Linked DNA regions of Yarrowia lipolytica. The protein of the gene in region 1 purifies or fractionates together with the protein of each later gene. This does not show direct contact. Links are inferred from orthologs where the notes say so. Each region holds a gene or a part of one and is shown on either strand. Other genes may lie near its edges. The genes, in order: YALI1_F01291g, YALI1_E30886g and YALI1_E05602g.

The links.
Region 2: the proteins of YALI1_F01291g (region 1) and YALI1_E30886g purify together in Schizosaccharomyces pombe (affinity purification with mass spectrometry, with the first as the bait; 3 studies listed by BioGRID). This does not show direct contact. The link is inferred for Yarrowia lipolytica from reciprocal best matches to the Schizosaccharomyces pombe genes paa1 and fba1.
Region 3: the proteins of YALI1_F01291g (region 1) and YALI1_E05602g purify together in Schizosaccharomyces pombe (affinity purification with mass spectrometry, with the first as the bait; 3 studies listed by BioGRID). This does not show direct contact. The link is inferred for Yarrowia lipolytica from reciprocal best matches to the Schizosaccharomyces pombe genes paa1 and ypa2.

The regions. Positions count from the first base shown.
Region 1 is NC_090775.1:127,417-131,599, reverse strand, and holds YALI1_F01291g (uncharacterized protein), read right to left. Parts: upstream 2,453-4,183; coding exon 584-2,452; downstream 1-583. Other genes in the region: YALI1_F01275g (uncharacterized protein), read left to right, coding at 4,063-4,183. UniProt on the Schizosaccharomyces pombe protein: Phosphatase 2A affects a variety of biological processes in the cell such as transcription, cell cycle progression and cellular morphogenesis, and provides an initial identification of critical substrates for this phosphatase.
Region 2 is NC_090774.1:3,086,760-3,090,422, reverse strand, and holds YALI1_E30886g (uncharacterized protein), read right to left. Parts: upstream 1,788-3,663; coding exon 1,725-1,787; intron 1,623-1,724; coding exon 591-1,622; downstream 1-590. UniProt on the Schizosaccharomyces pombe protein: Catalyzes the aldol condensation of dihydroxyacetone phosphate (DHAP or glycerone-phosphate) with glyceraldehyde 3-phosphate (G3P) to form fructose 1,6-bisphosphate (FBP) in gluconeogenesis and the reverse reaction in glycolysis.
Region 3 is NC_090774.1:558,627-561,952, reverse strand, and holds YALI1_E05602g (uncharacterized protein), read right to left. Parts: upstream 1,754-3,326; coding exon 617-1,753; downstream 1-616. Other genes in the region: YALI1_E05630g (uncharacterized protein), read left to right, coding at 1-487; YALI1_E05599g (uncharacterized protein), read left to right, coding at 1,988-2,635; YALI1_E05584g (uncharacterized protein), read right to left, coding at 2,775-3,326.

The DNA.
Region 1 (4,183 bases):
AACGGCTGAAACAGAAACATGTAGCCGAGACGCTCCAAACACAGATAATTGATCCTTACTGTAGACTGCAATACGAGCTGGGTGCGTGCGCAACGGTGTGGGAACTCGACAAGATGAGGGGACAACTTAGTGCTGCACCTCTCTTGATGTGCGTTCGGCACGAGTTCATGTACTGTACGATGGGTACGAGAAGCGAGGAGTCTACAATGTCGGTTAATTGACTCTCTCAAGAGAGTACTGTACGATTCAAGTGCACTAGAGTAATCGTACCCTTGGGCATGTTAACAATAGGCACCCGTCCTGAACAGGTTCTGTACAGGTACGAGTTGGTACAAAGAGTAGCGTCTAGCGTCTAGCCCTGTTGTTCGGTATACACGGGTAACTTACATTCCTGAAGAACTATCTATAAGTAGCCTCCTACATACTCGCATCACCCACTTCAACCAGAGCCGTATTAAAACCGTTTACTTTCTCTTCTCAAAGTAAAGGCTACAGGGCTCTTGCAAGCGGCCTCTCACTACCGCGCGTCCGTTTATACTCATTAACTATTCATCTAATTCATGTCCACAGCCCGTCTCCTACCCTATGCGTGAGCCTTCTTGATTTCGGCAATGTCCTCCAGAGCCTTGGTGGAAAAGTAGCGCACGTCCACATCGCCGTCGGTGGAAAGCCGCTCCAGGTGGGGGATCACGGTCGATGTGCAAATCTCCTCAATCACCTCAGGCGAGCTGATCTTCTCCTCGTGCAGAGCCCGCACCAACTCTGTGTACGTCTTGGCCACATTGAAACGGATGTTGGGGATGGGGTCGTTGATGAGCTCGGCAATGAACGGCAGAATGGATGTCTTGATCATCGACTCGTCCACCACGGGGATGAGTGTGGTCACGGCACAGAGGGCCGTGAGTCGGTACAGGTAGTTGGAATCCGCAGCAACGACGATAATGTGGGGCAGAATCTCGTCCTTGGCCCAGTCCACACCAAACACCTTGGTCAGCTTCTTGAGGTTCTGTGTGGCGGCCTCTCGAATCGAGTAGACGCTGTCCCACAGCCAGGTCATGCACAGGGGACCCAGCTCCTTGTCGAAGAAGGAGACGCCCAGCTGTGTGGCCAGCAGAGGGATGTACTCGATGATGGCCAGGCGCACTCGCCACTGCTTGTCCTGCGCGAGATCCGAGACTGCAGGAAGCAGACTCTGGCTCAGTAGATCAATACCAATCACCTTGTTGACCAGATGAAGCTTGGAAATAATGTTGAGCCGCACATCGGGGAAGTCATCCTTGAGCATCTGCAGAAATGTAGGCAGCAGAGTCTCAATTGTCTTCTCCTTGCCGAGCAGCGGTGCCAGGGCCGAGATCTCGGAGCCCAGAGCAGCCCGCACGTGCTGGGACGAGTCCTGAGATAGTTCCTCGACGTTGGCAACAATCTTGTCGAGGTTGGCGGGGGTAACGAGCCGGCAGAAGCCAGGCACCTGCTTGGCCACCGCTGTCCGGACCTCAGCCTCGCCGTCCTGCATGAACTTGATGAACTCGGGCACAAAAGCTCGCTCCATCTCGTCCACCTCCGTCTTCTCCACGCCCTCCTCAGGCACCACTGAGGTGAGCGACTCGGCTAGCTTCTCGAACCGGTCGGCGCACATGTATCGCACCCGCCACGAGGGGTCATGGAGCAGTGCGAGAGCAAACTCGATCAGCGAAGACGTGTGCTGCGAGTTGCCCTGTCGCTTGAGCTTCTCGGCCTTGGCAATCAGCACGTTGACCGACAGCAGTCGCACGCTGTCCTGGTCGTCGCCCACCTGTGCCTTGAACATGGAGTAGATTTCGTCGTCGGCCTCAGGAGAATCAGCTTCCGCGGGCAAAGCCTCAATCACTGCAGGCAAGTGGGTGGCGGCAGCTCGACGGACCATGGGGGTGTCATCTCGTGTGAGCTCTCCATACTGCTTGAGAAGCTCGGGAACAGCCTCGGTAGGACAGTGTCGAATGGCAGCAGCATAGAGACCGGTGGCAGAGACCTTGGAGGAAAACCACTCTGCAGAAGAAAGCCGTTTCACCAGAGGCAGGATGGTCTGGGCCACGTGATCACGTGACGGCAATCCCTCACAGATTCGGTTGATGGACTCCACGGCCTTGTCCCGAACAACAGGCTCCTCCATGCAAGACAGGGTCTCTAGAGAGGGGATCAGCAGGTGCGAGTACTCGGGGCCTCCGATGTAGGGAACCAGGTTGGCGAGCTCCTCAGCCAGCACGGTCAGGACCTCGTCCTCGTCCTCCTGTGTGACATCCTCCAGAAAGGGGATGAGTTCGTCACGGCATCGCTCTTGGCGTAGGGCTGCGGCGATGAGCTGCAGTTTTTTCATAGCAGAGATTCGCAGCGAAAACTCGTCGTGTTTGAGCTCGTCCATGAGCAGAGCCAGGGGGTACAGCTCGTCAGGAATGTCAATGTTTTCTTGTTCCATCTGGGTTAGTGGGTGGGACCAGGGGCAGAGCGCGGGCGGCAAGTCTCATGAGTGAGTGGAGCAGATCTGCTATCCCATCAAAACTAATTGCCGTCCTTTTGTGTCACTGTTCCTTCTCCTGCGGTTCTTTCGCCCTCTCATACTCACGTTGATGGCTATGTTGTGTGGTTGTTGTTGTGAAGAGAGTGTGGTGATTGATGGTCACACCCAAGCTCAGTTTAACGTGCATGTCGAGGGTTTGTCGCAACCCTGGCCCTGGTTCGGGGGTCGGGTTTGTGGAAAATTGGGGCCATGTGGGGGTCTGAAAATTATCGAGATTGGTCAGACGGTCCACAATTGTCTAATGATGTGTTTTTTTCACGTCTCTAGCTGTACTACTTTGGCCTCATCAGACAATTGTCTTCTAGTAAACACGTACATGTTTCTCTCGCCGTATAGTTTGATGCACTTTCTCCCAACCTCGACCCGCGAGTGAGCAGTTGGAGTTGCAGTAGCAAGTGAAAAAAGGACTGGGCCCGTCAATTATGAGGAATATTTGGGGCACGAATTATTCAATTGGCTCTTAATCTATAGGCACGAATTACTCAATTGGCTCTTAATCTATAGGTGCACGAAAGTTTTTTCCACTAACAAATTGTCACATTGTCACATTGTCACATTGTCAAATTACCACCCATTATTATCGTGCATGCCGCCATTCCACAGATCACTATAACCTCACAGGTTAGGACTGGCCTGGGGAGATGAGTAGAACCACTTTTGGGGCGATAGAAGGTACATTTGAGGTATTAGAACTTTTATGGTGGTTTCAGATTGCTATTGGTATATCGGCTGCTGACTTTTATTGATTATTTTTTCTCTCCAAATATGATTCTGAGAGACATGTTCTGTTCATATATGTACAGTGTATGTACTATTCAGTCCTAAACACTCTAAATCGATGATGTATAGATAAGTTGGAATAAAAGCTGAGCCGGAAGATTTTGATCTATTCAGAACTCTCAACATCACGAGAACCCCCAGAAATGTACATGTAGATCCGTGCAAGTACCTGTACTCGTAAAAACCCACCTGCTCATGGTCGACAGTCAACCCGCCCATTACCCTACCGTCAGTGTGGTGTTGTGGGAATTGCACCCGAGATGCGAGTGGGGGGAGGTTCAGAGAAGCAAATTAGGCAAGCCAGAAAACATGAATTTTTTAAAAATATGAAGAAAAAAAAAATGAAAACCAAAATTTCAGAGAGAAAAAATAGGCCAGACTCGAATGTGAAACATGTATAAAAATTGCCAAAATCTGCCGGAAAAAAGACACGGGGATTACGTACCATCTAGTCTTCATCATTTCACTGGAATCACCGGCTTTTCTCACACCACTCCGGTCTCTCAGTAGGGTCACATCAGTTGCTGTATCCATGCTACTCACTTATACTCGTACACTATGTACTGTATCGGCACTTATACCTCGTTTAGCAAGGACAACAAATACTAGAGATCTGTTGTTCAGAGAAGAACAGATTTCCCCACGACTTGATATTCAACAACGTCACTGATACAGTCACGTGATTACCACGACGTCGCCATCAGCTCTGAATCTTCTCACTCAACAGCATGCCCACACTCAGGCGGTTCTACGCGATTGATCCCACCCCTTTTCCGGAGCTCAACAAGGATGAAAAGCTAGACGTGCGGGCGATGCAGCGCACGTTCGAGGGCGCGTACTATCGGTCGG
Region 2 (3,663 bases), on another chromosome or scaffold:
TGCAAAATGTACGATATAATAGATATGAGACAGTCTATTCTCTATTCGTCAGAGCGAGCTATGACTGCTTGTATTTGTAGCTATTTGTACCATAATTCCCATTCCATTGCTCGAGAACCAATAATGTCCACCACAATACAACTCTACCGAGAGTTGCCACCACTCCTTGCCATAAATGAGAACAAGCACAACCCTGCAGCAAGCTATCAACGCGTGCCCATTTTAGCACGAAAAAAGGACCACTTTCAATTTCATAATTCGGAAAAATTATCAGCCCTCGGAATAACGTCAAGCGAAATGAAAAATGAGTAGGAACGAAAAAGCATGCGCCTTTTCTTGACTCCTTAGGAACGTAAAGCTAGAAAATAGCCCAATTGCCTTGCTCAAATCGAAACAAAGATGACCCCCACGAAGCAAGATACAGTCAAGGCCTAGACCCCCCACCTGCATTACAACCGAAAGTGGTCAATTGACGTGGCTACATTGCATTAGCGAAGGCTACAGCACAGTGTACAGTTGCACAGGTTTATCCATGAATAATCAATTGCTCATATATCGTCCCCATTCTAACATCATCTTTTATACATAACTTACAAGGTGTTCTTGGCGTTGAAAACCTCAAAGGCAGAGTCGAGTCGCTTGGCCATGGTCTTCTCACCCTCTCGGACCCAGACACGGGGGTCGAAGTACTTCTTGTTGGGCTTGTCATCACCCTCGGGGTTGCCGACCTGCTGCATGAGGTAGTCCTTCTTGGAGAGAATGTAGTCTCTGATACCAACAAGGTAAGCGTACTGCAGATCAGTATCGAGGTTGACCTTGACAACACCGTTATCAATGGCAATCTTGTAGTCGGAGTCGGAAGAACCGGATCCACCGTGGAAGACGAGGAAGAGAGGCTTTCCGTTGCCGTGCTTCTCGGGAGAGCCAACCTTCTCGGCGGAGTAAGCCTGGTGCTTCTCGAGGAGCTCGGGGTGCAGCTTGACGTTGCCGACCTTGTAGACACCGTGCACGTTACCGAAGGCAGCGGCAATGGAGAAGTTGGGGGAGATGGGAGCGAGGGCGGAGTAGACGGCGTAAATGTCCTCGGGCTGGGTGTAGAGCTTGGAGTTGTCGACACCAGTGTTGTCAACACCATCCTCCTCACCTCCGGTGACACCAATCTCCATCTCGAGCCACTGGTTCATCTTGGCGGCTCGCTTGAAGTACTCGGCGGTGGTGGCGATGTTCTCGGGGTGCTCCTCCTCGGAGAGATCCACCATGTGTGAAGAGAAGAGGGGCTCACCGTGAGTCTTGAAGTACTCCTCATCGGCGTCGAGCATACCGTCGAGCCAGGGGAGCAGCTTTCGGGCACAGTGGTCGGTGTGGACGATGACGGGAATGCCGTAAACGGGAGCAATGGTTCGGATGAACTGGGCAGCGGCAATGGCTCCCTGGATGGAGGCGGTCTGATCCTTGTTGTCGACACCCTTGCCAGCAAAGTAGGCAGCGCCACCCTGGGACATCTGGATGATGACGGGGGACTTGTTGGCTCGGGCAGACTCAAGAACGGCGACAACGGTGGACGAAGAGGTCACGTTGACGGCGGGGAGGGCGAACTTGTGCTCTCGGGCGTACTCGAAGAGCTGGGTTAGTTTGTGTAGAGAGTGTGTGTTGCTAGCGACTTTCGGATTGTGTCATTACACAAAACGCGTCGTCTCGACACTGATCTTGTCGTGGATACTCACGGCTCGGACATCGTCGCCGACGATGACACCGGACTTTCGCTTAAGGACGTCAGTAACAGGCATTGTGTGATGTGTAGTTTAGATTTCGAATCTGTGGGGAAAGAAAGGAAAAAAGAGACTGGCAACCGATTGGGAGAGCCACTGTTTATATATACCCTAGACAAGCCCCCCGCTTGTAAGATGTTGGTCAATGTAAACCAGTATTAAGGTTGGCAAGTGCAGGAGAAGCAAGGTGTGGGTACCGAGCAATGGAAATGTGCGGAAGGCAAAAAAATGAGGCCACGGCCTATTGTCGGGGCTATATCCAGGGGGCGATTGAAGTACACTAACATGACATGTGTCCACAGACCCTCAATCTGGCCTGATGAGCCAAATCCATACGCGCTTTCGCAGCTCTAAAGGCTATAACAAGTCACACCACCCTGCTCGACCTCAGCGCCTTCACTTTTTGCTAAGACAAACTGTACACGCTGTTCCAGCGTTTTCTGCCTGCACCTGGTGGGACATTTGGTGCAACCTAAAGTGCTCGGAACCTCTGTGGTGTCCAGATCAGCGCAGCAGTTCCGAGGTAGTTTTGAGGCCCTTAGATGATGCAATGGTGTCAGTCGCTGGATCACGAGTCTTAATGGCAGTATTCGTTCTTATTTGTGCCATTGAGCCCCGTTATCCTCGTATCTTCTACCCCCCATCCCATCCCTTTGTTGGTGCAACCCTACCCATTTATTGTTGGGTGCAGCCCAACCGACGTGGAGAGCTTGGCTTGGCCATATAAAAAGGCCCCCCCCTAGTGGCAATGGCAGAAAGTCAGCTGTGAGTTGTTGAATTTGTCATCTAGGCGGCCTGGCCGTCTTCTCCGGGGCAATTGTTCCTCTATAGTACTGCGTACACTGTTGTTGCTACGTACGCACTCATTACTTAGACTCCATACATCCGTCAAGCAGCCGCGCAGTTGTAATTACTGTACATACATTTCTGTAGTAAGGGCGCTGACAACGGTCCTCGATGATCCTGGAATGGTCTGTTAGTTACTCGTTCGTTAATTTCTTCAACGGCGGCATCTCTAGCTCCAAACGAGTAATATCTCTCTGCTGTAGCACACTCTCTCTACCACGCGCACGCGCCAGGCACGCCTCAGCCCCCTGCCCAATCACCGACACCGGAAGCTCTGTTCCGATCCTTTTTCGTTGTTCCGACACCAACCTTGTTACGTGGAATCTGACAGAAGTTTACCCCACAAGGTGTTGGAGGAGAATGTATGTCATTCTGGAGACGTTCATTGAGAGGAGAAATGAGTACTCAACATATGTGGCCCAACCCGTGGCAATTGCCTCAATTCTAAACGCCCATTCACCCGTGGAATGCACCCGGAAATACTAGTACCATACCCCGCAACTTGTCTCGGCCTAGATGTGCGTTTATACTTTGAAACCGTGCGTTTTTCTGCAAGAGAAACCCCATGTGTGCCTTGAAATGAATGATTGCTGCGGTACTCGTAGATAATTGTGCGATGGCTCTTGAACTTTGCTTAGTGGCGTATCTAGCGGCTTGGTGGGGAATATTACGGCCCAGAGATACCTGTACTGCTGCCATTACTAATAAAATTAAGAAACAGTCTAGACTGTCTGGCGGAGAGCCTAACCTCATATTCAGAGTTAGGTGTCTAATATTGGAGTTGCATGGTGTGCTGGTTGGGACTTTCCCTAACAGAGAGTCTACAGTATCGTACAAGTAGGAAATCAGCTGGCGCTGGTTCTACCCCAGGAGTACAAGTACAAGTAGACTACAAGTATCGTACTTGTATGTATTCTACTTATACCGGGTTGATCATGAGGTTGCGGCGATAGAGATCGTACCAGTACAACCACGCGGCGGTACAAGCTGACCTCCACGACAGCTGACCTCCACGGCAGCTACTGAGTCAGCCACAGTACAACTAAGT
Region 3 (3,326 bases), on another chromosome or scaffold:
GTCATACAAGGAAGATGTTCACTACATTTACCTCCTGACCAGCTCTCTAAATTCCCCCCTGCCTCATTATAAGCTTGTTCTGTCAGTCAGCCATATTTCTCGAACGCAGAAGAATGGCAATTTGAGAGGAAAACAGTGGTGGCATCACCGCATTCTAACTTTTGGAGACAACCTGGTCATATTCAAAGAGGGTAGGCTCGCATCGTGGAGAATAATCTACGATTGCTCTACTGATTCAGTCAAGGCTTACTTGATCCCCGAAAAGTATGGGTTCGTTGCCGACGTACACCCTGTTCAGTTTGGCAAACACCTGGTCTTCTCCAGAGGTGTGCTAGACATGTCTACCTTTCAATTCTGCACGGTACCCGTGGGCCAGAATGATCGAAAGAAGATTGTCTGGCACAAGAGAAACGGCGTTTTGGTTGGGTCCACTGTAAACAGCCTCTCGTTCCAGTGCTTCTACCTCGGAGATCCCTCTGAGGTCTAGCTACCCCGGTCACCTATATTTATTTTGCTTATTCGCCATATCATCTAATCATTACCTCATCCTGTATTGTATCGTAGTTTATATGCCTATCTATTGTATAATTTCGTGCCAATGGAAGCTGGGGATTGCCTAATCAAAAGGCAAAACACCGGAACCACGCAGTTTGCGCAGATCTCCAGGTTTCTGGCTCATCTCAGAGGCTGCAATGGCACTGGGCACCTTGATTCCACAACAGTCAGCCCAATGGTTGTGAATGTGCTGCACTTCAGCATTGGGATCAGGAGGAGGTGACACCCCCTCAGGAGCCTTGATCAGCTGACCGAACATGAAATGCTGGAGAATGGGGAGCTTGCTCAGAACCTCAGCGTCGTACATCTTAACCATACCCTGGTTCACCTTGGCCCAGGTCTTGACTCCGGAGATGTCATCCAGCATGGGGGAATGCCATCTCAGAGAAGCAGTGGTCTTGACACTGTTGATGAAGTGGATGCAACCCATGTACAGATACTCATGCTTCCACATATCCAACATCTCCATGTCGTGGATGGATAACGGCCGCAGGTACTTGTGGCATGCAAGCTGGGCAGATCCAAACATGAAGGGTAGGAAGTGGTAGTCATCGAGACCCCAGACACCATGAGAGCCTGCAGGCTCCAGCCAATAGCTTGCTTGAACAGCACGCATGGTCTTAAGATACTGGACAAACACCGTCAAAACTGCTGCAGAGGAATCAGTCTCATCTTCCACACACTTGGCATTCTTGGCCTCTCCTGTTGGATCGTGCACCTCAGGATTGTACTCTGGCACATCAAGCAGACCCAGCTGCCTCAGACAGAAGAGGAAACAGATAAAGTTGAGCTCGTGGCCAGATCCGAAATCAATTCGCGTTCGGTCACCAAAAGAGGCAGCGAAATATGTACAGAGCTCCACGAGCTGCCAGTCCTCCAACTCTCCCAAATCCGAGATCCAGTCCTTGGCGTTCTCCTCCAGAGCCTGATGGAAATCTCTGAACTCAGGTTTTCCGAACCGTGACGACGTAGCATCTTCAGGCGGATACTTGGCGACAAGATCAATCACCTTGTCGAGAATGGCCACCAATTTGCCAATGATTGGGTGCTTCAGCGTCTCGTATGAGTTGCCCTTGCCCACCACATAGTAGTTGAGCACCTTCACGAACCCAAACACTTGCTTTTTTGTGTCACTGGCGCCAAATATTTCCAGATCTTTGGGCGACAGAATTCGCCGTACCGGGTGTGAGTGTGACATGTTGATAAAATTGTGCGCTGTGTTGAAGTGGTACTGTAGTGCTGTCTAAGTATCGCGATGCCGATTATTCTGTGTGGTTATGCAAGGTAAAAACCTTACTCCAACGCCCCCCAGGACGACCGTTGATATTAAGCTACAGTGCGTGTAAGGTTGGACCCCAACCCCCGTGACACAGCACTTTTCTCCTCCCAACTGACGCATGTGATATATTACTGTACCTATGGCTTGCATCGCATGAAATCTCTACCTCGGATCTCCACCGTCAACGTCTGGTTTTTCGTCGCAACCTCTCTGAGCTATCTCGTTACCGCCGCATTTCTGTTATTTGTCTTCTGCGTCACATTTGTGTCTCTTAAGCTCGCTCTTGCCGCCCTAGCCATCGCCCTAACATCTACTCAAGCACAATCATACGCTCTGAAAATGGCCTCCCAGAAACGACTCATCAAGGAGCTGGCAGCATACAAGAAAGACCCCAATCCTTGCCTAGCATCGCTCACAGCCGACGGCGATAATCTCTACAAATGGACTGCCGTCATGAGAGGAACCGAGGGCACTGCATATGAAAACGGTCTCTGGCAGGTGGAAATCAACATCCCCGAAAACTACCCGCTACAGCCACCGACCATGTTTTTCCGAACGAAAATCTGCCACCCAAACATCCACTTTGAAACCGGAGAGGTGTGCATTGACGTTCTCAAGACGCAGTGGTCCCCAGCATGGACCATCTCTTCTGCATGCACCGCAGTGTCGGCCATGCTATCTCTGCCAGAACCAGATTCGCCTCTTAACATTGACGCAGCCAATCTCGTGCGATGTGGCGACGAAAGCGCCATGGAAGGTCTGGTTCGATATTACGTCAACAAGTATGCATCGGGAAACTAGAGTAGTTGGTACAAAACGTCGTAATAAATCAATAAGTTATATGAGTTAGTGGGAACTGGACTCTAATGTTCCCAGTATGATATAGCGGGGTTCATTCTAGAATATAAGTGAGACACAAAATCGGCGCTCAAAAAAGCGTTCAGTAGGAGTCATCCTCCTCTTCTTCTGGCTCCTGCTTCCGCTGCTGCTGCCGCTTGAAGTCAACCTTCATCTTGACGTCCCAAAACTTTCGGGTAACGTCACTGAGAGGCCGGAAGGGCACCATCTGCTGGAGCATTTCCTGGGGAATGAGGTCCATGTCTGAGTGCGTCTGCTGTCGCAGCACAGACTTGAGCCACAGCGAATTTTCGGCCTTGGGAACCTGTCGCTGGTTTCGGAACTTGTACACCTTGCTGGGGATCTCTCTCTTTCGGTCGTCCAGGCTCAGCAGCAGAGGCTGCATGTGTGAGGCGAGCGCCTTGTGGAGGAAAATCTCGTTCATGGACTCTCCGGTGTGTTCCTTGACGGTGAAGGGGTGTGGCTGGATGCCGAGAATGCGGGTGGGGGACGAAGTGTTGCCACTCTGGTGTCGCGAGAAGTTTGGGGTGAAGTGGCTACGACTGAACATGTAAGGGTTGTTCTCGTATGGAGGAGCTGGTGCCGAGGGGGCAGGCGAAGATGCAGCGGTGGATGTAGTGGATGTGGATGTAGC